Linked DNA regions of Drosophila melanogaster. The protein of the gene in region 1 interacts with the protein of each later gene in a pairwise test. Each region holds a gene or a part of one and is shown on either strand. Other genes may lie near its edges.

Region 1 (9,055 bases):
GGTAACATAAATAGCACTGACCACGTATTTGCTGAATAAAAATAATTGGAGTTCGGTTTTTTTTTCGAAAAATTGAAAAAAAAAAGGATTTGCATTAAAGGTTTTAATTGAATTTGTTCCAAACGAAGACCAAGAATTCTCTAGTCATGGGTCGCGGAATGCATTGTAACGTCGAAAAAAGAAATTTGATTAAAACATGATCTCTGAAGGTAAAACCTACGCTGAAATTGGTCGCATTGTCTGTTGTTCAAACAAAATGATCCGCAACGCGCTGATGTTTGTCGAAAAGAACGAAACACAGCGAAGAAAGCCCTCAGTGTCAAACGTGGAGATCAAGCGCTTGGTTCGGCAAAGCAAGAAGGAGCCTTTTATGCCGGCGATGGAACTGAACAAGGAGATTCAGATAGCTGCAGAAAAGTCGAATATGCCAAGATACACAAGGACTGGCATGTGGAGAAGTGGCGCAACATTTTGTGGTCAGATGAGAGCAAAATTGTGTTGTTTGGTGGGAAAGGCTCTCGGTCTTATGTTCTTATGTCCACCACGAACTGAAAATTATCCTCGCTTCACCTTTAAGGCGGTAAAGCACGGGGGATCAAACATCGTGGTATGGGCGTGCTCTTCAAACTATGGAGTAGGTCCGATCCATTGAATTCAAGGCATCATGGATCAGCACATTTACACAGATATCCTGGAAAATGTAATGCTGCCATATGCCGAGGATGAAATGCCGTTGGTTTGGACATTTGAACAGGATAACGACCCAAAACACACGAGCAAGAAAGCTTGAAAGTGGTTTGAGCAGAAATCGATCCGAGTTATGAAATGGCCTGCTCAGTCACCCGACTTGAATTGCAATCGAAAACCTTTGGGCGGACGTGAAAAAAAGGTTTCTAAAGCCAAACCCAATAATAACGAGGAACTTTGGGGTGTGGTCAAGGATTCATGGAGCAAAATTCCTCAAAAACGGTGCCAGGACTTGGATTCCATGCCAAGACGATGCGCAGCTGTCATTGCCAACAGCTCTTCAGATATAATCCATTTGTTGAATTCTTTTTTTTATTTAGTTTTAGCAAACTACTACAGTGCTATTTTTGTTACCGCCCAAATTTGAAGGCGAAGGCGAGGCGAAGGACGTCGGATTGGTCGCAACGGTCTTTGAACCGGAGCCCGGCTACATCGCAAATTTCAATGGAAGGAATGTCAAACTGCAGACGGATTTCGGAGTCGACAAAACATTCACCCATTGCAAGGCGATGGTGTACAACGTACAATACGAAGCGGTGGAGAGGCTTGGCACAGAAGAATTGATGTTGGACATACCTCGGGTAGAGACGATTAAGAGAAACAGGACAACCCACCAGTTGGGAATACAACAGCTGAGGATGGAGGATATGGAAACAAAAATGCAGATCAACAAATTACAGTGGGAAACCACGATCCAAACAACAAGGACTTACACGATGCTCGATATACTACTGATAGTAGTATTTGTCGTCGCATGTTTCCCAAAGAACACAACAATTTTCACACCAGAGACTACACCACATGCCACCTTCACACCCACTATAGCTACACCTGCTACGGTACCAGTAACTATATATCACCAAGTACATTGTTGCGGCCCACTTAAACGCTAAAACATAGTATCAACAAACATCCGAAATGCTGCATCGGCGACCACTTGAACGCTGAGTCTTTGTCGATTAGCACTGGAGATTCTGAATCGATCTAAGCATCGGGGCCACTTGACGACACAGAATCGCATCCGCTCCACTTCTAGTTTACGGTCGTAAATGTACCAATCCAAACTGTAAAGTAGGAGAAAGATATAAAAGAATTCATTCAGATTTTCAACCTCAACTCCAACGGACCTTTCTCTGGGAATCAACATCAAATCAAAGTCTCACTTCTATCTCCTGAACCTACACAAGGAGTTAACTCGCGCAAAACCGATACACACTTAAAACAATGTTTTGATTTTTTTGTCTTGCAAGCTATTGGGAAAAATATTTTGGCCACGCCCACAGAACGCAAAAATCCGTCATTCATATTCTTTGTGCGAACTACTTTCTGGTTATAGTATAAATGTATACTCAAACAGTAAGCAATAAATTGTATCTCCAAAACTTATATTTTTTAAATATGAAAACGCCTTGATGAGGGTAAAATCAAGAGAGCATATTCAATAATAAAAGTGCTGACATAAAATGTATACTATTTACTTATTCGACACGCTTGAGTGGATATTGGTCGTGTGCTGAAATCCTGCACCGCTGATGAATTCAATATGTAGGATAAGATACAATAGAATCCTTAACCTACATTATCACAGTTTTAGTTCACAATGAAAATCCCTGATTTCAGCAGAAAGAATGGCAGTCGCCGCGGTGTCTGTTGCTCTTCCAGGCCATCCCATACCTTCCATAAAAAAAAGAAAGACGGAAAAGCGTACAACAAAACGACCAAAATGCAGCTTTGTCTCTATATTTAAGCGTTTGTTTATCTTAAGAGTTGGTGAAGACAGGTTATTTAGTGTTGTGAAGCATCGTTATTTATCAATTATGTCATTTGGATACTGCACAATAGAAGGATAAGACTAAGCTACCGGCACTGCTAAAGATAAAATCATATTCTCACATTCACTTAGCTAAGCAAAGTATCATCGTCATCATATTTCGATGGCTAGCAATTAGAATAGAGATAAGGTCTTAGTAGGAGTTAAAGCGCGACATCGTGATGAACATTTTTTTACCTTATTGATATCAGCACTACGATGCTTCAACATTTATTAGAACTGACAGCGAAGAGACACAGACATAGGAACAGACCGAAATTAACTCGTAAAGGAATCTTTTATTTCCTGCTATTCTACAAGCAGGCCTAGCGAATCACGTAGTTTTCACCTTTTATACCCGTTATTCGTAGAGTAAAAGAGTATACTAGATTTATTGAAAGGCATTTAACAGGTACATGAAAGCGTTTTCGACCATGTAAAGTATAACTAACTAATCCAATCTCTCTTCACAAAATCCGAATTACGCGTAGTTCTTAACTCTACACGCATTGCCAACACATCTTGGAGACCCACTCCAGTCCACACACATCAATACTAATGCACACCGCATTAGTACATCTGTACGCTTCCGTTATTCCTGCACAAATCTACTTCCCCCGCTCCTACCAGCGACCAGACTACGTTCGGCAGAAACTGTAGCGGTTCTCTGCCGCGCATCAAAAGAATAGAAAAGGCGCCTGCATGGCGCGTGCCAAGCAGAAACGCGCAATTACTAGAAATGTCGTTACAATTAAATGATCTGCGACATATACATATTCTTCATCAGGATTAATAGCGAAGTCCGTCCGTATGAACGTCGAGATCTCAGGAACTATTGAAGCTAGATAGTTGAGATTAAGCATACAGTTTCCAGAGATACAGACGTAGCGCAAGTTTGTTGATTCATGCTGCCATACCCACTCAACCGAACTGGCCATGTCCATCTGTCCGTATGAACTCCTTGATCTCAGGTACTGTAAAAGCTAGATTATGCATGCAGCTTTCAGAGAAGCTCACGCTCTTTCAAAATGTTTTGATATATTTAATATTTATATTAGTCTTGTAAATTTCTATTGATTTGCAAAAAAAACCTTTTGGCACTCCGACAAACCGCCCACTCAAAATGTTTTGATTTTTTTCATATTTTTATAAGTCTTGTAAATGACCTAAACTGCCACGTCTACATTTTTGGAAAATGTGTTGATTTTTCATCTTTTTACTGTTTATGTCTACTGATATACCAGAAAAACTTTTGCCACGCCTCTGCATGCGCCATACAATTTTTTAATTTGATTTAATTTGATACTCGGACTAACGGTTTTAGTTATATTATCGATTTTCCTTAACAAATTGTGAAAATTCTTGTTCACAATATCATAAGCTGCTAAGCGGGAATCTAATAGTAGATTAGCTTCGATGCTTATTTTATATCCAGTATATTTTGAGCTCAAGTCAGTAGAAAGGTATTACGTTTTCAACGAAAAGCAATCGGTCCATATTGAGTATTCCTTCGTATCTCCATAGAAATTAACAGTGTGAAATGAGTATTTAGAACATTCTAATAACTATTCTTATTATGTTATAATTAATATATTTGATGAAATATAATTATTTTGGAACAAACTTTGTGTTTTAAAAAGTAAATAAAAAAGTTTTTTCAGTTTTATTCTTTATTTGTCAAGTAAACAATCAGATATATAACGAAACTATTTATTTTTATTCATCGCTGTCCGGCTTTGCACCTAGAGCCTTTAACACGCAAACGAACTTTCAAATATGTTACTTATTAATATTGTAGTGCCAACAGAGCATCTCTTTGTCCTCAGTAAGTGCTGGAAAACGGACCATTGAGTGATGCTCTACATTACTCACCATTGTTAGTTAAGTCTGTGTGTTTATTTTATTATGGGATTGGTTTGGGCAGTGAAGAATTACCACTGAAAAAACTGATACAATATTATCATTGAAAGTGGTTGTAAAAATTTTTGCAGTGGGCTTTTAACAGAACGCAAACTTAAATTTTTCCTTGAAAAAGCGGTAAAAACTAAGCCGGCGATAGTAGATCCATTTTCCCTACATACGATCAGAACTTACATAGTTTAAATGTCTTCAACCGAAGTGAAGCTATCAAGGCTGCTGATCTTAGCGCAAAAGTTTAACAACTTTTACCTTTCAGGTAAGAAAGCATGTCATGGATTTTAGCATTTAAGACCCGAAACATACATTTATATAGTTCAAGTGAATTATCGATTACTTATTCCATATGTAGGCAAACAAAATATACATAAGTATTAAATAACTTAGGAAGGTTTGCAATGGCTGTCTCGTTGATGTGGTTGTACATACGTATGTATGAGTCTCAAATAACTATTTGTGTTGGAAGGAGGAAGGGTTATGAGCAAGATCAGTTTTACAAATTTGCACACACAAAACTTACCTGAGTACAAATACACATATTTATAATTCCTTTTATATACACCCTGCAGTTCCACACACTGTCCTTTCATCAATTAATCACCGCTCAGTGAAAATATCGAGCGCCGAATCACGGCGTAATTGTTTATGGAAAAATAGCCATGATTTTAACATTAAAATGTCCTAGGAAATCATTGCCAAGTCGAGCAAAAATCCCTAAATCCTCAATAGTGTTTGAAGAGATACATTTTTATTACTTTTTCATCACTTTTATGGGCCATTTTCATCAACTGTTCATTAATGTAACATCAAAGTTCATTTCATCGTTCTTTTATTACAAAAAATAGTTTTTTTTTTATAATTTGACTTATTATTTAAATTATGCATTATCTTGGAATTGCCTACGGAGTTGCGGCAGTTGTGTTGGAATATTGGTGTACATGTCCGATTTACCTTAAAGTGAAGTATATTAGTATAATGTACACAAAAATGTATTAATTAATTAATGAATTAAATCCGAAAAACTGGCACTAAAAAAATAGCGTCTGCCCCTCACAAAAATATAATATCAAGTGTGCAATTTTGTTGTCTTATTTCTCTTTGCATCTTCCGATGCGAATTATAAATTTAAGGTTTCTTACGATGCCTATGGGCTCGGCGACTGTCGGCTGTGCATTCGAAGCAATTGGATCTTCTGGCGTTTTAGTGATTGTGTGATGTGTTTAGTAGAATGCATTTTGGGATTGCAGTGTATTTATGTACATATGTATGTCCATACTTATGATTAATATACATAAATACATACATACATAGCTTACAATGACGTCTATCTGATGAAGGTGGAGTGATAATTCTCCTTTAAGACAAAAATGTACATGTGTATGTACAAAAGTTCTAAGATTAACTTTTGTGGCAAAAAAGAAGTGTACATTTCCAAACATTTCTTTCCTTCCACCTCCTCCTACCCGTTACTCGTTGAGTAAGAGGTAAAGTATGTTATAAAGCTAAAAAGTTCCCTTTAATATGATAACAAAGCGTTGCCAAAGAGCAATTTCAAAACTCATGTCTAAGTTGGTCGCCGGTTGATGTTAATGTTAGAGAAATTTATTCCTCTTTCCAAATTTTTCTTATTTACACTAGTGGAAATAAGTATTTGGACAATAAATATATTCAATATATTTATATATTGCAAAATATATATTATATAAATCAAAATTGTTTAATAATTTTAGTAAAAAGGTTGACTATCGAAGTTAAATTAGGTAACATAAACATATGGATAACTTCATTGTTGATTTAACAAAAATTACATTTTTACAAATTATCAGTGGGATAAGTACTTGGACAAATTATGTATTTAAATGTTATAAATTGAAAAGAAAAAAGTCAACTAAAAATTTTAACAAATTAATAAAAAATATACCCTCCCTAAGCGTCACCTTTTGAAGACGTTTTGGTACAGACTACCAAGCTGTGGATACAATCTATTGAAATATCCTTCTATAAGGTTTGAATTTCCAAAATCGTTTCTTCGCGACTTCTAGATAAGATCATCTAGACATCTAGATTAGATTATTATGTTTTATATATGATCAGAGGTTTTCTATTATGTTGAGGTCTGGACTTTAAAGTGGCTAATCCAATGTGTTTACGCAAGCATCTTTCAGAAACTGCGTAATCAGTTTGGCCCTTTGACAGGGAGCATTATCCTGCTGGAGTATGAAGGACTCTCTAATCAATTTATCACCAGAGGGGAATGCATGATTATTAAGGACATCTAAATATTTTCTTTGATTCATGGTTCCATCAAAGACACTAGAATAACAAGATGCGTAACGGCCATACATTGGTTTGGCACTATGCAGCCAATTTTTTAGTGACGGCCAAAATTGCTCTCTTTCCGCTCGCTCCCGCTGAGAGCATAAGAAATCTAAAAATAGAATTTGCTTGCTTTTGTGAGTAAAAACAAGAGACGAGAACGCGTATATTTGTGCGTGTTGTGCTAGAAGACGATTTTCGGGCCGAAATCAATTCTGATCGAAGAAACGAATTTACATTGTACATATTAGGGTAGTTTTTGCCAATTTCGTAGCAATATGATAAAATAAAATAATTTTTAAAAATTCGCGCCCTGACTATTATAATTTTAAAGCTTTTTAAATTTGTTTGTTAAAATCGCCGCTCGAATTAGCTACCGTTTACACATTTATATTTATGTTTAATTCTAATTTGTCTCTCATCTGACAATATTTTAAAAGCGAAATATTTTTTTTGAAACACTTTTAATGTTAATGTTACATCATATTAAGTCAAATGATTTAATAAATATACTAAATAATTAAATATGATAACTGTTTATTGCAAAACGTAATATCAAAGACACTACAATTATTCTAGTGTCTTTCCTTGGTTCATATCTTGAGGCACGAAGTGCGGACACAAGCACTCAACAATCATTGCCTTATTAATTTTTCACACGCCGCAAGATGAATACTCTAATGACAAATATTCTTATATAAAGTCATTTTTGAAATTTATTTTTGTGATAATATGTACATAGATTTGACTATTTCTAATCTATTTTCAAATAATAATAACGTTAAGGCAATGCAAAACAAGAATTTTTCGCCAATTGATCAAAAATAATATAGATTTAAAGTCAAAGAACTTCTAAGGTGAAGGGCATATTTTGTCAAATTTACAATGCATGAGCATACGTGTGCACACATACAGTTGTCTGCTATCACTTTGTGCGTTGAAAAGAGCTGTTCGCTGTAGCGCTCTTCGCTCTCTCGCTCTCTAACAAAAATTCGAGAGAGCCTGGAGCCACCTCTAGAGCCACGGCCAAAAAATCGTGTGCCAAAAAATCGTATGGCGTTACGCATCTTGTTATTCTGGAGTCTTTGGTTCAACCTTGATGGACTGGATGGTTATAATAACTACTTCCTCGATGTGAGAAAGGAAGAATTTTTCTTAAGTCCACATCACATCCACAGTGCAGGTGGAGGAGCCGTATCTTTTTATGGAACATGCGGGTATGAATGATATTGCTCCCATCCATACCTGGGGTTATAAAACCGTGGATTTAGGATCAAAATGTCAAATTGCTCGAGTGGCTGCCTATTACTTCCCTGATATCAACATCATCGAAAACATTTGGGGACTCTTGTTAAGGAGAGTATTCGAAGGAGGAAGACAATTTAGGGACTCTGGTACTCTAGTTGGTCAAGAATATCAATGAGTAACAAAAAAAAACAAAAGAGAATAATATAGTCGAGTTCCGTTAAAAAATATCAAAACATTTTTAAAGTGTATGGGCGGCGCAGTTTTGGGCGGTTTGTAGGCGTGGCAAAATTTATTTAACAAAATTATAGAAATTTTTTAAACTAATAAAATCGTGAACAAATATCAAAACATTTTACAAATGTGTGGGGGTAGCAGTTCTGGGCTGTTTGTGGTCGTGGCAACAATTGGAAACTCGTGCAGCGTCTATGTCTCTGAAGGCTGCATGTTTAATCTCACATCCAAGTTTTTATAGTTCCTGAGATTGAGGCGTTCATATGGGCAGACGGACGGATCGGCTATTGATCCTAAACAAGAATATATATACTTAATATGGTTGGAAACGCTTCGTTCTATCTGATACATACTTTTTAATGAATTAAATATACCCTTGTACTCTACATTGTAAAATTAAAATAAAATTGAAAATATGCTACTTTCGGCGTGTACCCGAAAATGTACGATGAGAAATCGGGAATCTTATTTTTGCCCAATTATCATCATAGAAATTACTTGTATTTGGTCTTGGCTAAATATGATAATTATGTTGTAACGGACGGATTTTCTTGGTCTCGCTACGAGGTAAGAGCGTCTAGCTCAAAAGATTTGTAATAAACGTTAACACCCGCTTGCCAGTAACAACACTGCAGTTCTCGTCGCTAGGATTCCTGCACTATCGGACTCGCCGGTCCAACGCCAGGGTCGATTCATGGTGTATCAAGACGTCTTAACATAGCCGTGCTTTATCTTATTGGAAAAAAAATTTTGTAATGCGCGCTTATTTTACGTACTGCTGGTCCA
Region 2 (9,531 bases), on another chromosome or scaffold:
CTCTGTCTCACGCTACTCAACCGATGTAAAAAAAAATCAAAAACAAAAAAACCAACATATTTTTTATAAATCTCGATTAACCAACAACAATAAAACAAATTAAAATAAATAAATCTTTTAAAACTTGCGTAACACCAAAACAAAAAATCCAACGAATAATTGACCAAAATAACGGCGCTTTCAACGATCTCAATGCAAACCCCCGAATTACTGAAACTTAATCTCAATCGGAACCCGAATCACTGACCACTGCCAACGAGCAGCTATAAGAAAACTGTCCAGTACGATCCCAGGAACAGCGAAACCTACAGAGCCATTCAAGAAGAGGGCGGCTACAGCAACTATGGCCAATCCTCGCCACAGGAAGTGACCATTCCTGTGCAGACTAAGGTCTATCAGCCCAATAGATTGGTTCCAGGAAAGGTAAGATCGTGCGCAACCGTTCGAAAATCAAGCAAATCTCTCAATCAACTCGAATCAGTCGAACTCAGTTAAAACTTTATGTGAAGGCATCCGACAATATCGCTCGATTCTCAAGCTCATCCTGTACAAAGTCTATCTATTTCTCTCTGTTTCTATCTCGCTCGCTGTCTCTCTATTCGTGTCAATGTAACGTGTACAGTTGATCCAACCGAATGTTAGTCAACAGTGTCTGTGTGTCCTTGTCTGGCGGCATGTAAACGCGCTGTAACGACGACTAACGGGGCCGAAGTAGTGTTACTAACTTGATTTTTTGGTCGATCGATCATCTGCTGGCATCGAACTACACTAAACACATCCATTAACTCCATATATGTGTATATTTTCCAAATCACAAGAAGCACACATCTTTTTGGCATTCTAACACGGAATAATAACATCTAACCGAAGCTCATAACAGTTGAATATTGCATTTAAAAAGTTTTTAACCGAAATTGCTGGATTTAGCCAGAGTTATTAAGCTATATCTTATCTGTTCACTCCATCCAAATGCTATTACAGAAACCAGTATCAGCGCCAGTATCCCGGCCGCCGTACAATGTGAGTAGCGCGGATTTATTCACTGTTAACTGAATGTTATACTAATGATGTGTCTTATGATGGGTGAACAGGTGGTAAACACCCACGATGAGAACATACGCCAGAGCGGCTCCTTCAATCGTCTCATGTACAGCGTGATTGGTGCCACCGAGTACTAGAAAGTGCAGCTGCAACACCAGCGACAGCAGCAACATCAACATCAACGCAACATCGGCAACATCTGCTGCACTTGTTTTATCTCCTAACATATTTAGCGGATTTTTATGAAATTCTGTTTAACTTACTCAATAAATTATATGAAGAACGACAAGAAATTGTGAACCACTAACAAGCTTGATGATATAATGGATTGGTAATCAATTGGCATCGAAATAAATTTACGATATAAACACCACTTAACGCCGCCTCAACCTAATTACTGTCTGCATATGCAATAGAAAACGTATATAAATTAATTAAATAAAAAAAAAAGGAAAGTAAAATTTGGTTTATAGTTATGTTTATGTTATGCTGATTCTAAGTTAACAGCCAGTCAGGCGTGTTAATACCGAGTGATTCTAGTCATGGAATGTAATAGGTATTAAGAATGTTTTAATTAATAAAAGTGACTTTGATTGGATGAAAGAAATGTGTGTGCATTATGTGTTATAAATATAAGCAAGCTAATTTACGTACATATGTATGAATCAGATTTTTATATATCAAGTGTGATCATATGACGTGGAACTATTATGTAATTTAAAGGCATTTGCACCTGAAATTTACGCTTAAAGTGCAATATATTTTGAATCGTACATTTCAACATGCCGACAACGTAATTGTATCACAATAATTTGAATATGACGAGCTCTTTTGTCTGTCAGCCTGCCTTCTTTTAAAACATTAAGTAGGGCCAAACCCAGTTCAAAACCATAGCAAACCGAAGTCAAAAAGAAGTAGCCAAAAATCTTTGCATAACATGACGCTGCAGATTTGCACTTATTCCATCAATCATTCCGGCAATTAAACGTATTTATATTGAAACTATATGCACACATGAGCCGAGAAATGAGCGTACCCATAAATTTGACTTTAATTTGAATGGAAATAAGTCACTCGAGTGTGTGTACGTGTGTAATGTGCATAACAATCGTCTGCAACACATAATGTACTTTCACTTCACGGCTAAGTAAGCCACAAATGTGGTTGGTTTTTCTTTCGATTGTGTACTATTTTGCTTTATTTCAAAGCTGTTACAATGTCAGCGCGATCCCATTAAACGGTCAGCCCCACATTTAATGCCCCGTTTTCGACTCCCCCGAAACGACCTTGTCGACTGCGAATCGATGCAAATTCAGGGCGTATCTCATGAACCATACGCAAAAGAGTGCTCTGTGGCAATTGTAATCACGTATCAAATGTTGTAGGAGGACTTATGGGGCTTAATGCCACCATCACATGATCGCAAAGATCGTATATGCAAAGGGCTTGGGAGTGCAGAAAAAAAAAGAGAAGATTTGGCAATCGGCGACATCGAAGATCGCTTGAACCCATTCAACCGCAACGCAAACGCAACGTCTGATTCAGATACAGATAGGCAGATACATATATAGATAGCTAGCTATTCACAGATAGATGGATACATAGAAAAACGTTTAGTCGAATTTGGGTCAGCAACAATGCACTTGCTGGGTTCGATTTTTGACTCGGGTGTGGCCCTCCTCCGATCGCATTGACCTCTTCTTCTCCAAGAGCCAAGCGATTAATTGGGCATGATTATCTAATGGGAAGCCATCAAGAGAATTGCGTGGAATATAGATATAGCTATATTATATAGACATGCATGTCGAAGGAGTAAACTGCAAATGCAATTTACATTTGCTCGTGGGCACTGCATGCCCTCGAAAGTGTGTGAGTGCATAGCTGTTGCAATGATAAATTCGGGAAAGTTTTCCAATGCTAGTCAGCTTCCTCTTTTTTTTTTTTTTGGCCAAGTTAACAGCTGTTGGCCGAGATCACGTAGGGTTACAAAAAAAAAGTAGGGAAAAAACCTTTAACAATGGCCCAGGTCGAGGGTAGAGGAACTGTGATTCGAACGGAAGTGACAACCGAGTTGGGGTCTTTTGGCCACCCAAAAAAACAGCTGTTGTAAATCAGCCAAGAGAGTCGCATTATGGCCAATAAGAGCGTGAGAGAGCCGTCGTTTGGCTTGCCGCTCGTCGTTTGTCGTTTGCCGATATAAAAGTGCAATTTGGATTCGCAGCCAGCGCAGATACAATTGTGGCTCCGTCGAGGTTTCAGTTAGCGTTTGAATTTGAATACAAGTGCCCGCGTTCCGTCGTCCAAGTGTGATCTAGTATCCAGTAAACCCTTAGCAACATGCAACTCCTTTTGGTGACGGCCACTTTGGCCATCTGCGGCGTGGTGGTCAGTGGACAACAGGGCGTGGATCCCGCCTACTTGAGGCAGTACTACCAGCAGCTGCAGCAACAGCAGCAGCAACAGCAGGCTCAGCCCCACGATGGCACGCCCATTTTCGAGCAGAACTCGGAGCAGACGCAGCAGTACGTGAACTCTGGCCAGCAGATCAGGATCAAGGATACGGTGGCGGAGCAGATCCGGGCACAGCAGCAACAGGGATACGTGGCTCCATCGGTCAGGGATTATCAGGTGGGTTTGCTTACTTACTGTACAAATAATCTAGATGTCTATATTGTTGGATCTACAACCTTTTCACAGCAATATCAGCCTCAGCAGGCCGCCTACCGTCCACCTGCCCAGGCTGCTCCTCAGCCACCACGCAGGATTCAGCAGTCCTCCTACCAGGCTCCTTCCACTTCGATCCTCGGCAAAGGACAGCACAAGTTGTCGCTGCAGCAGCAAAACGAGGAGGAGGAATACGATGACGTAAGTTAACAGTACACGTAAAACAATATGTCCATTTTTCAAACAAATAATGAGGTGCGGATATGAAGAAGTATTAATGAAAAAGATATGTGAAACAAATAGATCAACAGATATCTATGAAACCCAGTGATCAGCTAAAAGTAACCAGTTTAAATCAATTTGCAAAAAAGAAACAAGCTTAATTATTTAACTCAAAGCCGTTTTGATACTTTATATCAAATTGAAATCGATCCTCTTTTTGCGGTGCACCCAGCTGGTGTTCGAACTCACATTCGAGTGGGACTTTCGCGCACTTTCCTTTTCGCTTCACTGCAACAGCAACTGCAACATCAGTGAAAACAACAACAACATAATTACAATTGAAGCATGCAATGGCATTGGGGGATGGATCGGGGGAGGGCAACTGTGACTTGGGGTTCATTAACCACGCTCAGTGTGGCAACAGTGTGGATTTGGCCATGGCCATATGTGTGTGCATCGCATTGTGCATGTTCATTGGCCCGGGTTCGCTCCTGGTCCGGTCCGTTTGGCCACTTAGCCACCGGCGATTGTTTATGGCCTTTGCATGCGGAAGCTGGCGAATATCCGTTACCAAAGTGACCATAATCCATCAGGCTTAATGCGGCGGCAAGCCAACGAGATGGGGTTAAGGTGCTCAGTTGGTGTGTCATCCTATTAGCCACTTAAAATTGATGGCCCAAACAGGATTTGATGGGTTTTGTCAAAAAAAAAAAAAAGTTACATGACAATTAATTTGGTATTTCATCATCCTAAAACTAAAATGCAAAAGAAATTAGTAGACACTAGGAAAATGGAAAACATCATGTGGCGGCACATGTAATGATTAAAACACATCTTAGCATTGTCAAATTTGTAAGAGCTATTATATTAATCATTACAAGTGATTGCAATTTACCGCTTAATGTCTCCGCCAGACAATCACTTTCAAATGCGACCCATTTACCCCAATCCCCACTCCGTGACCATAAGATCTGCAACTCCGAGCCCAATTCCCACAACAATGAGCTCCAATGGACATGGCACGCATTAGAACCGGCTTGCAAACTGGCTTTGCCTTTCCAATTTTTGGCCTGCAGTTCTGTGGGCATTTAAGCTCTTTGTTTTTTTGGTCCACGTCAGGCCTAAAAGGCTACCTAAAATAAAAGAACGAGGAATCGATTTGTGGCCACGCTCTAAAGCCACGATCTTCTTGTTACCTTAACCCAGTTGCCAGCAATCTTAGATCCGATTGTCTTGGCCAATCGAAGGTCTTGCTGCCATTGGATCCTCACAAGAACTAGGGGGAAATCGCACCAACCTTGTGCATAAATTATCCAACGCCTCGAGGTTTTTATGGGTGGTGGTGCTTCGATCGCCTGGTTGCATAAACATAATCCGCAGTCAACGGATCGATCGTGTGATCCGCAGCCGCTGCAACGAACCGGCACTTTGATTCCGTGCGATCGGACCATTAAAATATGCAAGCGGCTCCAAATTACTTTCACTTGTGCGTGATCTGGGATTGGGAGTTTGGAGTTGCACAGCCTACGCGAATGTGCCTTGGGGCGATGACGCAACACCAGCGTCTGGACACGTTTTTTGGGCCAGCCTCAAAAGTGGGTCAGCACCAGGTTGTAGTACGCATTTAAAGTCCCCATCGAGCCCCACCCCATTCACAAAGTGCCCAATCTGATTTTATTTCTTTGCAAAAGTGTATTGGAATCGATACTATTTTCATTGCACAATTTAATTAGTTTTCACTGGCACCCATATCTTTCTGTAAATATATCATAACTTTTTATCACATTTAATTTAGAAATTAAAAAAATTTAAGTGCCTTTCAAGAGATTAATATCATACAAGTGCTAAAAGCATTTGCAATTATATTACTAATTACTCATAAATCATATTAAGTAATAGATTTAGTTATAGCCTCATCTCCCAACTAATGCCTAACTAACAATGTTTTTTAGCAAAACTCCTCGTACCAGTTTGGATTCGATGTGAAGGACGACGAGTTTACCAACTACCAGAACCGCAAGGAGATTCGCGACGGTTCGGTGATCAAGGGTAGCTACTCGGTGGTGGACTCCGATGGCTTCATCCGCACCGTCAAGTACACGGCTGATCCAAAGGAGGGATTCAAGGCCGAGGTCATTCGCGAGCCCACCGACATCGTGGTGAAGATCCCCACTCCCCCGCCGCCGACGCAGTTGCTCCGCGCTGGAGGGCACAAGGCCCAGCAGGAGTACAGCTCCGGGCCCAGCAAGCAGCAGTATCAGCACCAGCAGCAACAGCAGCAGCCACAGTACCACCAGTACCAGTAGGTGATTCGACCATCCAAGATCGATGACTCTTGTCGAAACACTCTTGAAAGTTCCGCAAGTCCATGTAGTTTGTAAATATGCCGAGACTCGATTGGCACGAGATTATAACATTATTCTATTTTATATCATTCATTTAGGTTCGACTTTCTTGTTTAGAATATTAAATTAAAAGTTTCAAAAAACATGAAATGTGTCATGGAATATTTTTGTGTGAGGCTAAGTGATAAGTTCGTTTTTGGTCAATACTCCACCAATGATTGAGTAATACAAATCCCTTTGCTCTTGAAACTCCTTCCAATACTTCTTTCCGGTTTTTGTTAACCTTAATATCTTAGACTCCCCAAATTGAGGTCACACCGATGTCTGCCAACTCGAAGGTAAACAAATTTTATTTGCGTATAAATCAATGTCCTAACCCCCCGAGCAATTGGCAAAGTTCAGAAAGGACGCGGACCAAGAACCCAGTGACAACACCCAAAAGGCAGATCTAAAGACAACCCGTTCGGGCAGTTGCTGACAAAGGCCATCTAATGGAAGTTCTCACAGTGGATCGTGGTCACCGAAGACACGGCTTCGGATTCGGACCCGGCTGGACCGGTCAGACCGGTTGTCCTTTGGGAACTCACGCCACAAAAGCAATAGGAATAGCAACAGCAATCGCATTCGCATCGCAGTCGCATCGCAGTGTCCTTCTGCAATGTCCTTGCATAAATTAGACGAGCGTGTGAGAACTTTGAGCAGTCGAATATCCCCGGCTTTGATGACCTTATCGCCCAAGAAGTAGCAGAAGACGGCCGGCGATTACGAACCGGTTCTGGACAGTCTCCAGATGATGAGTTGAGGTGCGATGACTGACAGCCAGTCGGGATCGCTTCGCTAATGACCCGCATAGCGGGTCAAAGGGCCTGTAACCCATTTACATATGTAGGTTCGGGGATCAAATATTGATCTGCTGCAAGGATCCCGAACATGTGCGTGGTCATTCACGCCGTTGGTATTCCAACAAACAACTGGACATTAGTCCAGGCCGCCGGGCATTTGTGTCATTTGCTTGGCCGTCTTTGGATGGATATGCAAATGAGGCGAGTGCAACCCCCGAGGTTACAAGATAATACCCTCACACATCTTCAACCCCTTCGTCCTGCTTCTTGGCAGACGCATTTACATATCCTTAACGAGCGACCCGCATGATGGACCGACCGATCGACTGTCTTGTCCTGTAAGTGTAAGTAACTGCAGGACATTCGGGTCACTTCGAGGAACCAGTTTCCGGCTAAAGGATGGCCCGTCGCCAGTTGACCTTTTTGGATGGCCCAGCCAGTGCCCGTTGAACTTGTGTAACCGGTTGGACAGTCCACTTTTCCGGAGCGCCGTGAGAAAATCTCACATCTCGAAGATGACCTAAGACAAGAAGCTGAGCAAGCTGCATTCGTATGCAAATCTTTTGCAGTGCTCATTCCAATTTCACGCCAAATCATTGCCCTTAAATAAATAATACGGCAAAATTATGAAAAGTCACGATTTATGCGAGTTCGCATGGGTATGTACAGAGAGTTTTTGGGGGGGATGGGAAAAATGTTATGGAGTATGCAAATCGAGGTCTGATCTCAGAGTTTTCCCTGCGCCATGTCCCAACGATGTTCGCCGTGACCTCCTTGACGATCTGTCCAAATCACCTAAGTCGATCGAGTGGTTAAGAGGGAGAAAGTCTGCCGAATTATCTGGAAATTTATTAAGTTGGCTCTCAAGCTCAACTCACCTCGCCCTTGTAACGATTCGTGCCTCGCTGGGATTCAAATCGCTTTTCCTGGGCCTTCGGATGCTTCAGGACGTGGCCATGACTCCGCGAATCGGGTGCATCAAAGCGCATGAAAATGTCACTAAGCATTGAAATTAAAAGAAAGAAATTAGTACTAATTAATTTTAGAATTAGGAAGTAATTGTAATTGTCCAATTGTTAGTTTTCATTGTTTAAATAACAGCCACCATTTTGTCAAAAATATGTTACTCACTTTTCACCCTTTTTTCTATAAAAATTTTTCTACAAAAAAAAAAAAAAAACTGTTGGCACTACTTGTTAAGTTCGAAAGGGTAAACATCCACCATTTTTCACTAGGAAAATCCTTTTATTTAATAAATAACTGAACCACCACCGTTATTTCGTAATAATTTCACCCATATTCAAGCGAAATTTTCTTACTGAATTGCATGAATATGTATGTTAATAAATTTGTGTAAAAAATGGATAATTGATTTTAGGCATGAAGTGCATGTTAAGAGCTATTCCAAAATAATGAGCAACCACCACTTTTCAATTATTTTTCAACCCAATTAACTTACTGAAAGTACTTGGTTTCCTTGGCACTTCGGTCAGCTGGACTTCTGGTTTCGGCCACATCCGTGTCCAGATCCTTGGCGTACCTCCTGGGTCTTTCCGTTTGGACATTCTGTGAGGGTTGCTGCTGCTGCTGCTCCTGCAATCTGGCAATGCGAGGTGGAATCACATGCAACACATCGCTGGTAAAAAGAGCCGGTGGCACATTGTAGAGTTGCTGCGGCTGCTGTTGCTGCTGCAAGTGTTGCTGCTGCAAGTGCTGCTGCTGCTGCAAGTGTTGCTGCTGCAAGTGCTGTTGCTGCAACTGGTGTTGCTCCTCGACGCGGCGTTGTGGTTGCTGCAGCGAAACCCGTTGCACTGGCAGATAGTTACCTTCATATCGATATTTGGCCAAATCGGCGTGTGGAGCGATGGTCCGCTGCTGGTACTGGACACTCTGCTGCGGATACAGGGGCGGAGGGGGTGCGGCAGGAGCGGGCAACTGCTGCTGCTGGTAATCCAAGCCCAAGGGCTGATAACTCGGCCGATAGTTAATCAGCTGAAAGTGTGGCGTCTGCTGCTGAAAGTGAATCGCCGGCGGAGGAGCCGGACTATAGCCGCCCACAATGGGCGTGGCAGCGGCACCATACTCAAAGCGACGAAGACGCGGTGAATCGTAATACAATTGTCTTGGATGGTAAAAGACATGTGGCTGCTGCAACAATGCCGGCGAAACGAAAAGCAACAATTGCAGGAGGAATATTTGCATCTTTAGCAGTCCGTTTAACTTTCCAATTGGCAGATCCATCGCGTTGCACTCTCGTCAAATTTGTGGCAGCATTTTGACAACAACATAGCCATTTATAGTTGGCCACTTTTCGGGGCTTGGCCAAAAGCCGGAAGTCACTTGCCCAGCAGTCAGCGGTGTGTGAAATCGATCGACGCTGCTGCCCCGGATTGTGCAATGCTCCAACGGTCAGCTGC
Region 3 (7,195 bases), on another chromosome or scaffold:
GTCGTCCCATTCGTCGTCCGCCTCCAAACAACTTCAACAACGGAGGACGATTCCCCTAGGGCGAGGAGTTCGGCGGACCCGCAGACGAAAGTCCGCTGTAGGCTGACTATAAAATCATTGCGTTTACTGGGCTAGAAATAAGTCTCCTCGCATTTAAAAGCGCTTAGGCTAGGATGAGCCACAAATACATATTACTCTACATTCTCCAGCTTGCGAGTCCTGAGTTTCTGCAGTTGACAAGATGCAAAGAGCTTTGGTTCTTGTACATTAACTTTGCTATAGAGTTTTTAATAAATATATGTGTAATTTTGTCGATATTTGATGCACCTTTCTGGGCAAGGATTTCAAACTGCTGTTACCCCAGCACTACAAAGTGGTTTACTCCCTGAATAAGTTGCCTCATTCTAGTAGTGTTATAACGCATTAAGATGTAGTTTTCCCCTCTTTAAACCATATTTCTTAGACTTTAAAGTATTTTAAAGAATTTCCACTAATGTTTTTGATATTCAAATGAATGTAAAAGATAATAATATTACAGTATTTAAACAAATCAATTAATTTAGTTTGATAACGTGTTCGATTAAAATCGCACTAGTTCTAATGTGAAATATAGACCACCGATTGCACTGCACTTTGGTGGCATTGACCTTAATTGGTCTAAGCTACGCAAGCCGATTAATTATGCAGCAAGCATTGGAACATGAAACGTGCTCCGAATTAAAGACTTCATCATAATTACCTGCTATTGTAAGTCAGTTGGCCAGGCAGTTCGTATCCGAAATTGGCTTAGAAACCCCCCAAAAAGAAACGAAAATGATCTACTCGGACAATTGCTGTTGCTGCGTGGATCTGAAGTGCGGAAGCATCCTGATAGCCATCGTTGAGGTGCTAATACGTGGACTAGATCGCTTCTTTGTTGATCGTGAGTGGTCCTGAGCATAGGAATAGCTAAGATATAACTGGCTTTCTTAGGTGACAGCCTGCTGGGACTTTTTTCCCTTGTGGTGAGCGGTATCTACGTTATCTGCTGCATTTTTCTACTGCTGGGAGCAGTTCTGGTAGGGATCCGTAATATTTTGGTTGGTGGACAATATAAAGCTGTCTAATTACAGGGCCTGAGATATTTTCTGTTGCCTTACCTCTCAGTTTCCTGCCTGCGGTTCTTCATTTTAGTTGCCGAGGGCGTGTTTGTAGCCACAGAGGGCATCATGAATGAATATCTAGTTTTCGATATTCTTCAATCCCGTAAGTTGCATTCAATATTTCGGCACAATGTTCAACTTGGCCAAATCCTTTTCCAGTTCTAGGCTTGTACTTTTGGCTGGTGGTCTACTCCTATTATGATCGCTTAAAGGACGCGTGAGCTTGTAAATTTTACAGTATATTGTTAAATATTGGTCCTTATAAAATTTATTCTTTCAATGTTCTATCATTTTGGATATAAAATAAAGTAATTTATAACCTTTTTTGGCAAACATATAGTATATTTGGAAATTATCTAACCATAATATCTTCAATTTCCGGTCAATTTTTACTTTCTTTTTCTGCAACATCTTGCAATAATGATAAATATTTTTAACGCTTTACATACATTTTTAACAATTTTAAGGGAAATCCATGTTGTAATCCATTGTTCAATGCGCTTTTGCAATCTTGACCTAAGTAACCAAATAAACAAATTGAAAGTTGAATATTGTATTCGACGTTAATAACGAGTAATGCATAATTGAGCAATATAAATTATTGCTTTCCCAATTATCGGTACCCAATAACTTGCGCAGTAACCTCATTTGTATTCAATGCGTGCTCCTGGTAAATAAAAAAAATATCGAGTGCCTTTGTTAAGATGCACTGATTGATGATCGTATCTCAAGATTTCTGGATCCGCAACGAATGGAGCGCTCATGACTTCAAGGTAGTAATATGAAATACTGTAACCGCTATAATAATTTTTTCATCAATATCCCAAGGACTTTAAGATCCGGCTGATTTTGCTTTCTCTAAACTCTCTTTAATGGCAGCGATCATAAATAATATTTACATTCATGGGCTGTAGACCTAGACGACACTACAAACTAGAACTGCTCGACGGTGCGGGGGGCAGGTGGTGCTCCGTACTCCTCGGATGGGGCGGACGGTGGTGGGCCGTACTGGGTGGCCGGCTTGGCCTGCTGCTGCTTATACTTGATGAAGTAGACCTCTGGCTTGCTGGGCTCTGTGGGCTCTGGAGCGGGCAGGATGACGGGCTGCTGCTCCTCGGGCTTCTTGACCAGAACATACACAAGGGTCTTGTGCTCATCCTGGACCGGAGGAGGGAGCACCTGGCGCACAGGGGTCGGAGGGTTGGGCGCCTTGATGAAGATGATCTTGTAGTGCTTCTTGGGAACGGCCGTCTGGATGGGCGACGAGGCCGGATAGAACTCTGGCTCCTCTGGCGGCACATGCACGTACACGTTCTTGGTCACGAGCGCCTCCGAGGCGGCTGGTGGTCCGTAGAAGGCGGCTGGTGGTCCGTAAACGGGTAGAGGCTGTGCTGCCGGGGCCGGAGGACCGTATTCCTTTTGGGGAGCCGGCGGTGGCGGCGGTCCGTAACGCGATCTAGGTGGTTCCGGACGCGCCACACATATGGCCAGACTGGCGGCCAAGAGAAGGAGGATACACTGCGTCTGCATGCTGATGTCGATGGTTCGGCTGCGAATGAAGCTACTGCTGCAGGTCAATCGAGTGTTTTATATGAATCCGCCACCTCAGCAATGCGTAGCTCCCCCGCCCTTGCATAATATTTCCGATGGCTTCCCAATCGCGTTACGCGCAGCTCTTCAATCCCCGCCAGCAATGCGCGATGCATACAAATTAGCTGGCGCACTGTGCCCATTTCGATTTCGTTTTCGATGCCCAGTGTGGACATAGATTCCGTTTCCGATTCGGGTTCGTATCCGAAATTCGGCTGATGAAAACGAAACTGAAAACTGCACAGGCAAACCAGATCAAAGGGAGGGGCCCGTCGTCGTCACGTTCTGTTTTTGGGTCTTCCCGGCCCCTTTTCGGCCAATATTTGCCAAAAGCATTCGCCTTAATGCTCGATTGCGATGTTCACTTGTAATTTATTATGTAACTCGCACATTGCATTGGTCGGCCAGGGACGGTCATTGGGTTCCATGATCTACACTAAGGTATTTATGGGGCGCCAACTTCATAAAGAGGTTACTAACCCGCGAACAAGAAGTAACCAAATGTGAAATAATGAAAATTAAATTCATTTCTGACATGTAGAATCAACAAGCATTATTTCGGTAAATTATCTACTTATTTTAACGCTGGCAGTCCCAAGTGATATTCGAGTAGTATAAGCACACAATGTGCTTTTTAGCTTAAAAACCCCCAACTCGAAATGAAAGTCATAATGCACTGAAACCAATGCGACTGGAATATTCGCAATTCGCTCACAATATGTCATGATAATACGTATTTAATAGATAAGTAACAGATACGTAGCTTCTATTATTTGGCAAACTCTATAAGAACGGTTTGTTCCCATGTCTTACGTTTTTTTTTTTTTTTTTTTTTTAACAGTACTAGTTGTAATATAAACTGTGGTTCTCTGACAGTAGCTCTGCTTTTCTAATCAGTTTATGGAGTTGTCTAGATAAAAATTGTAAAATGGTGAAAAAATGCTGTTTCTGCATTAAATTGCGCAGAGCCTGCATCATCATAGCCATCGTGGACTTCATCATTAACTTAGTGGTGCTTAACTTGGCGGGTCGTAAGTTTGGGGCTGGCAGATCCATTTAAATGATCACCCTGGTAATGCATCCCACCTTCATCTAGAGGAGTTCATCGCACACATTGAGCAAGCGGTGGCAATCTGCCATTGTATCGGCTGCACATTCCTGCTGGGCGGAGCTTTAATCGTAAGTGCAGCCACTGTTTGGCACCCACTGCAGCCGATCCCATCTCCAAGCTAAACCACTATAGAGATCAACTGTTCTCCTGATGTTCTTCCTGATCACTAGCCTGACCAACTGTATGATCCTGTTTGTGTACTGCATCTACATGCTGATTAAGGAGGAGCGGTACCGCGAGATAATAGTCCCAGGATCTGCAATATATATATGTAAGTTGTTATTTTTGTGAGTTACTGCATCCTTAAAGAACATCCTTTTCAGGCTGTGGTATCTACTTCTGGATTGTCGTCTACTCGTATTATGTCGAAGTCAGAGATCCCGAAGACGTCCTGGAAGTTTAACAGCTTACGCAGAAAGAATAAAATTGCCTTGTGGGTCTGGATTGTGCTATCTGTTTTTCTAGGTGCTTATGATCTCAATAGTATTTAAGTTAATTGTAAAATTCATTCATGATTTTTTGGTGAACTCAAATAAAATTGAGATTATCCCTAGCAAATCGGATTCGAAATTAAAAATATTATAAAAAAAAATCTATTGTACAGTACTTTTTACAATCAACCATGTCAGAGCTTTGTAAATTCCAGGTGCGCTTCGTCACTAAGTTGACTGCCGTCCACAGATATATTTTGTATATTGGTAAATAAAGTTTGATAAATAGGTAAGCGCGTTATAATGCCTACCCACTTGCTTACCCACTTCCTTGAACACTTAACATTATCTCCGGGTTCCGCTTCGATTGATTTATTTAAAGATAAGATATCAACACAGTAAATTACAGTTTGACAAAGTGAAAGTAAATATATGGATCAGTTGAATCTGTCATTTAACTTTACTCTGACCAGAAAGTATCTTAAATATATTTTAAAGAAATTCTTTAATATATAACTCAACTCATTAAGTGTTTTTAGCATAATTTCCAAAATAAAAGGGTTTGTCGAAGTTGTGCGACTCCTCAGAAGGAACTTGTTTCGAACTGAAAAACAGAGAAAAGCAGGAAGTACATCATATAGTTACATCCTGTTGCCACACTGCTTATCCTAGTAAAACTTACCCTGTCATAGTTGACCTTCGTTCGACCTCAGCCTTAACATGCTTAAAGATCGACTGAAAGTCCCTGGTAAGGCCATATTGGTCCATTGCCTCGCACAAGGTTTGTATGAAAACCGAACCATGATTTTCATTGCGATAGCTCAAATAGCCCTCGGAGCAGCTGTAACACTTAATATAGGGTTCGTTGTTCATTTTTTTCGCGTCAGCTCTCAACGGACCCTTGCAGGCTTGAACAATTAAAATTTTTGGCTTGCCAGATAAGGTTGGATTTCTAAAGAGGGGAAAAAGGACGTCATCGTCCAAGTGGTATTCCCTGTGGTCGCATGCCAAGATTTTCTCTTTTCGGTCGCCATGGCTCAAGATAAAGAGGACAAATCCAGCGTCCTGGGTGAATCGTTTTGCAGACCCTTGAAGAAATTCGTTACTAAGAATAAAACCGTTTGCTCATATTTCTTACACTCCTTCACTTTGTTTTTAACGTCCGGCAACGCTGGGTTAGAAATAACTTCAACTCGACATTTTAGGCTTTCGAATGTTTTGCGAAGAGCATTGACATCATTTGAGCTACCCTTTCTGTTCAATTGAGAATCCTGAGGGAACTGCTCATGATTCAGAATGTACACGGCTGGCGGCTTTAGTTTTTCATTTAAATCAAGGCCTTGACCCTAAGGAAAATTCAATGGATGATTTGTGATTTTCTTCAATTTATACTTACTGGTTCAGCGTTGACCCTGTTGCTGTCATATAGTCTCTCAATCTGTATCAATGGATTTTTCGTAAAGACCATTAAGTTTCTTAAAATAATAATAATAACAATACGTACTTTTTGATGTTCTGTTCTTTCGGGCAGATACATGTTTACTGTTCGGCGATATAACGTTAACTGAGTAATGCACAAAAGCAAGTGCAATATTTGTTGTCTTATCAGTCACTATCTGGCCAGCTATATAGCCAACATCCGGATTTGTTCATCGACAAAAAAAGTACAAATTGAGTTACTATTTTCCGATTAAAACTTCCTTTACTGACCTTCTGACTTTATCTACCCGCCACTCGTAGAATAGAAGATAACTCGTCAACAGGCTGTCTTGCCTGTCTTTTGCTGTCTTTTCTCCCGTTGACTCTTTTGGGTTTTCACCACCGACTTCATCTGTGCAAATGTTAAAAGCACAGCCAATTAATTAAGTAAGTAGGTTAATTAAGTAATAAAGTAGGGTAAGAGGGTATAAAAAGGCAACAATCGGCAATACCTTTATAATCGGGAAATAACAATAAACACCCAAGTTGTACTTGCATTTGTCGATGAATATGATTGTGCCATAAATCTAATACGGGCCTTTATGTATTACTCAGTTAAATTTAGATCGGGGAACAAGAAACATGGATCTTTTTCAAGGAATTGAACATCAAAAAGTACGTATTGCTACAAATTGACAGACTATATGATTTAATCAAAAAACTTAAGCCTCCAATTGTGTACATTCTCAACATGAGGAGTTCCCTCAGGATTCTCAATTGAACAAAAGGGGTAGCTCAAATGATGCCAATGCTCTTCGCAAGACATTTGAAAGCCTAAAATGTCCTGTTGAAGTAATTTCTAATCCAGCTTTGGCGGTCGTTAGAAACAAAGTGAAGGAGTGTAAGAAATATGAGCAAACGGTTTTATTCTTAGTAACGAATTTCTTTAAGGGTCTGAAAAACAATTCACCCAGGAGGCTGGATTTATCCTCCTAATCTTGAGCAACAACGAACCCTATTTGAGCTATCGCAATGAAAATCATGGTTCGTTTTTCATACGAACTTTGTGCGAGGCAATGGACCAATATGGCCTTACCAGGGACTTTCGGTCGATCTTTAAGCATGTTGAGTCTGAGGTCGTACGAAGGTCAACTAAGACAGGATAAGTTTTACTAGGATAAGCAGTGTGGCAGCAGGATGTAACTATATGGTGTACTACCAGCTTTTCTCTGTTTTTCAGTTCGAAACAAGTTTGTTCTGAGGAGTTGCACAACTTCGATAAGCCCTTTTATTTTGGAAATTATGTTAAAAACGCTTAATGAGTTATAAACCTATTTCTTTAAAATAAAACCAAGTTACTTTCTGGTCTGTGTAATGTAAAACGACCGATTCAACTGCATACAGCTATATGATCTATAGATAGATAGATATAGATATATTGGTCAAACTGGAATTTATTGTTTACCTTATAGTTGACTAGTAGTACTTGGCTAAGTTCAATT

The links.
Region 2: the proteins of CG12567 (region 1) and Cpr66D interact in a two-hybrid assay, tested with the Drosophila melanogaster proteins (one large-scale study listed by BioGRID).
Region 3: the proteins of CG12567 (region 1) and Twdlbeta interact in a two-hybrid assay, tested with the Drosophila melanogaster proteins (one large-scale study listed by BioGRID).

What each region holds. Positions count from the first base shown.
Region 1 is NT_033779.5:23,169,740-23,178,794, reverse strand, and holds the start of CG12567 (uncharacterized protein), read left to right. Parts: upstream 1-4,402; 5' UTR 4,403-4,660; coding exon 4,661-4,733; intron 4,734-4,841; exon of another isoform or gene 4,842-4,872; coding exon of another isoform or gene 4,873-4,903; intron 4,904-5,329; exon of another isoform or gene 5,330-5,425; intron 5,426-5,613; exon of another isoform or gene 5,614-5,722; intron 5,723-9,055.
Region 2 is NT_037436.4:8,637,176-8,646,706, forward strand, and holds Cpr66D (cuticular protein 66D), read left to right. Parts: upstream 1-3,263; 5' UTR 3,264-3,378; coding exon 3,379-3,669; intron 3,670-3,738; coding exon 3,739-3,906; intron 3,907-5,879; coding exon 5,880-6,233; 3' UTR 6,234-6,409; downstream 6,410-9,531. Other genes in the region: Zasp66 (Z band alternatively spliced PDZ-motif protein 66), read left to right, coding at 264-423, 982-1,020, 1,092-1,178; CG13305 (uncharacterized protein), read right to left, coding at 7,841-7,909, 7,993-8,113, 8,574-9,355.
Region 3 is NT_033778.4:11,860,544-11,867,738, forward strand, and holds Twdlbeta (tweedlebeta), read right to left. Parts: upstream 2,710-7,195; 5' UTR 2,673-2,709; coding exon 2,076-2,672; 3' UTR 1,994-2,075; downstream 1-1,993. Other genes in the region: Mgtor (megator), read left to right, coding at 1-59; CG34230 (uncharacterized protein), read left to right, coding at 814-922, 973-1,058, 1,113-1,245, 1,302-1,363; CG42531 (uncharacterized protein), read left to right, coding at 3,661-3,763, 3,829-3,911, 3,976-4,114, 4,167-4,246; Damm (death associated molecule related to Mch2 caspase), read right to left, coding at 4,800-4,878, 4,957-5,362, 5,413-5,620, 5,671-5,712, 5,779-5,811.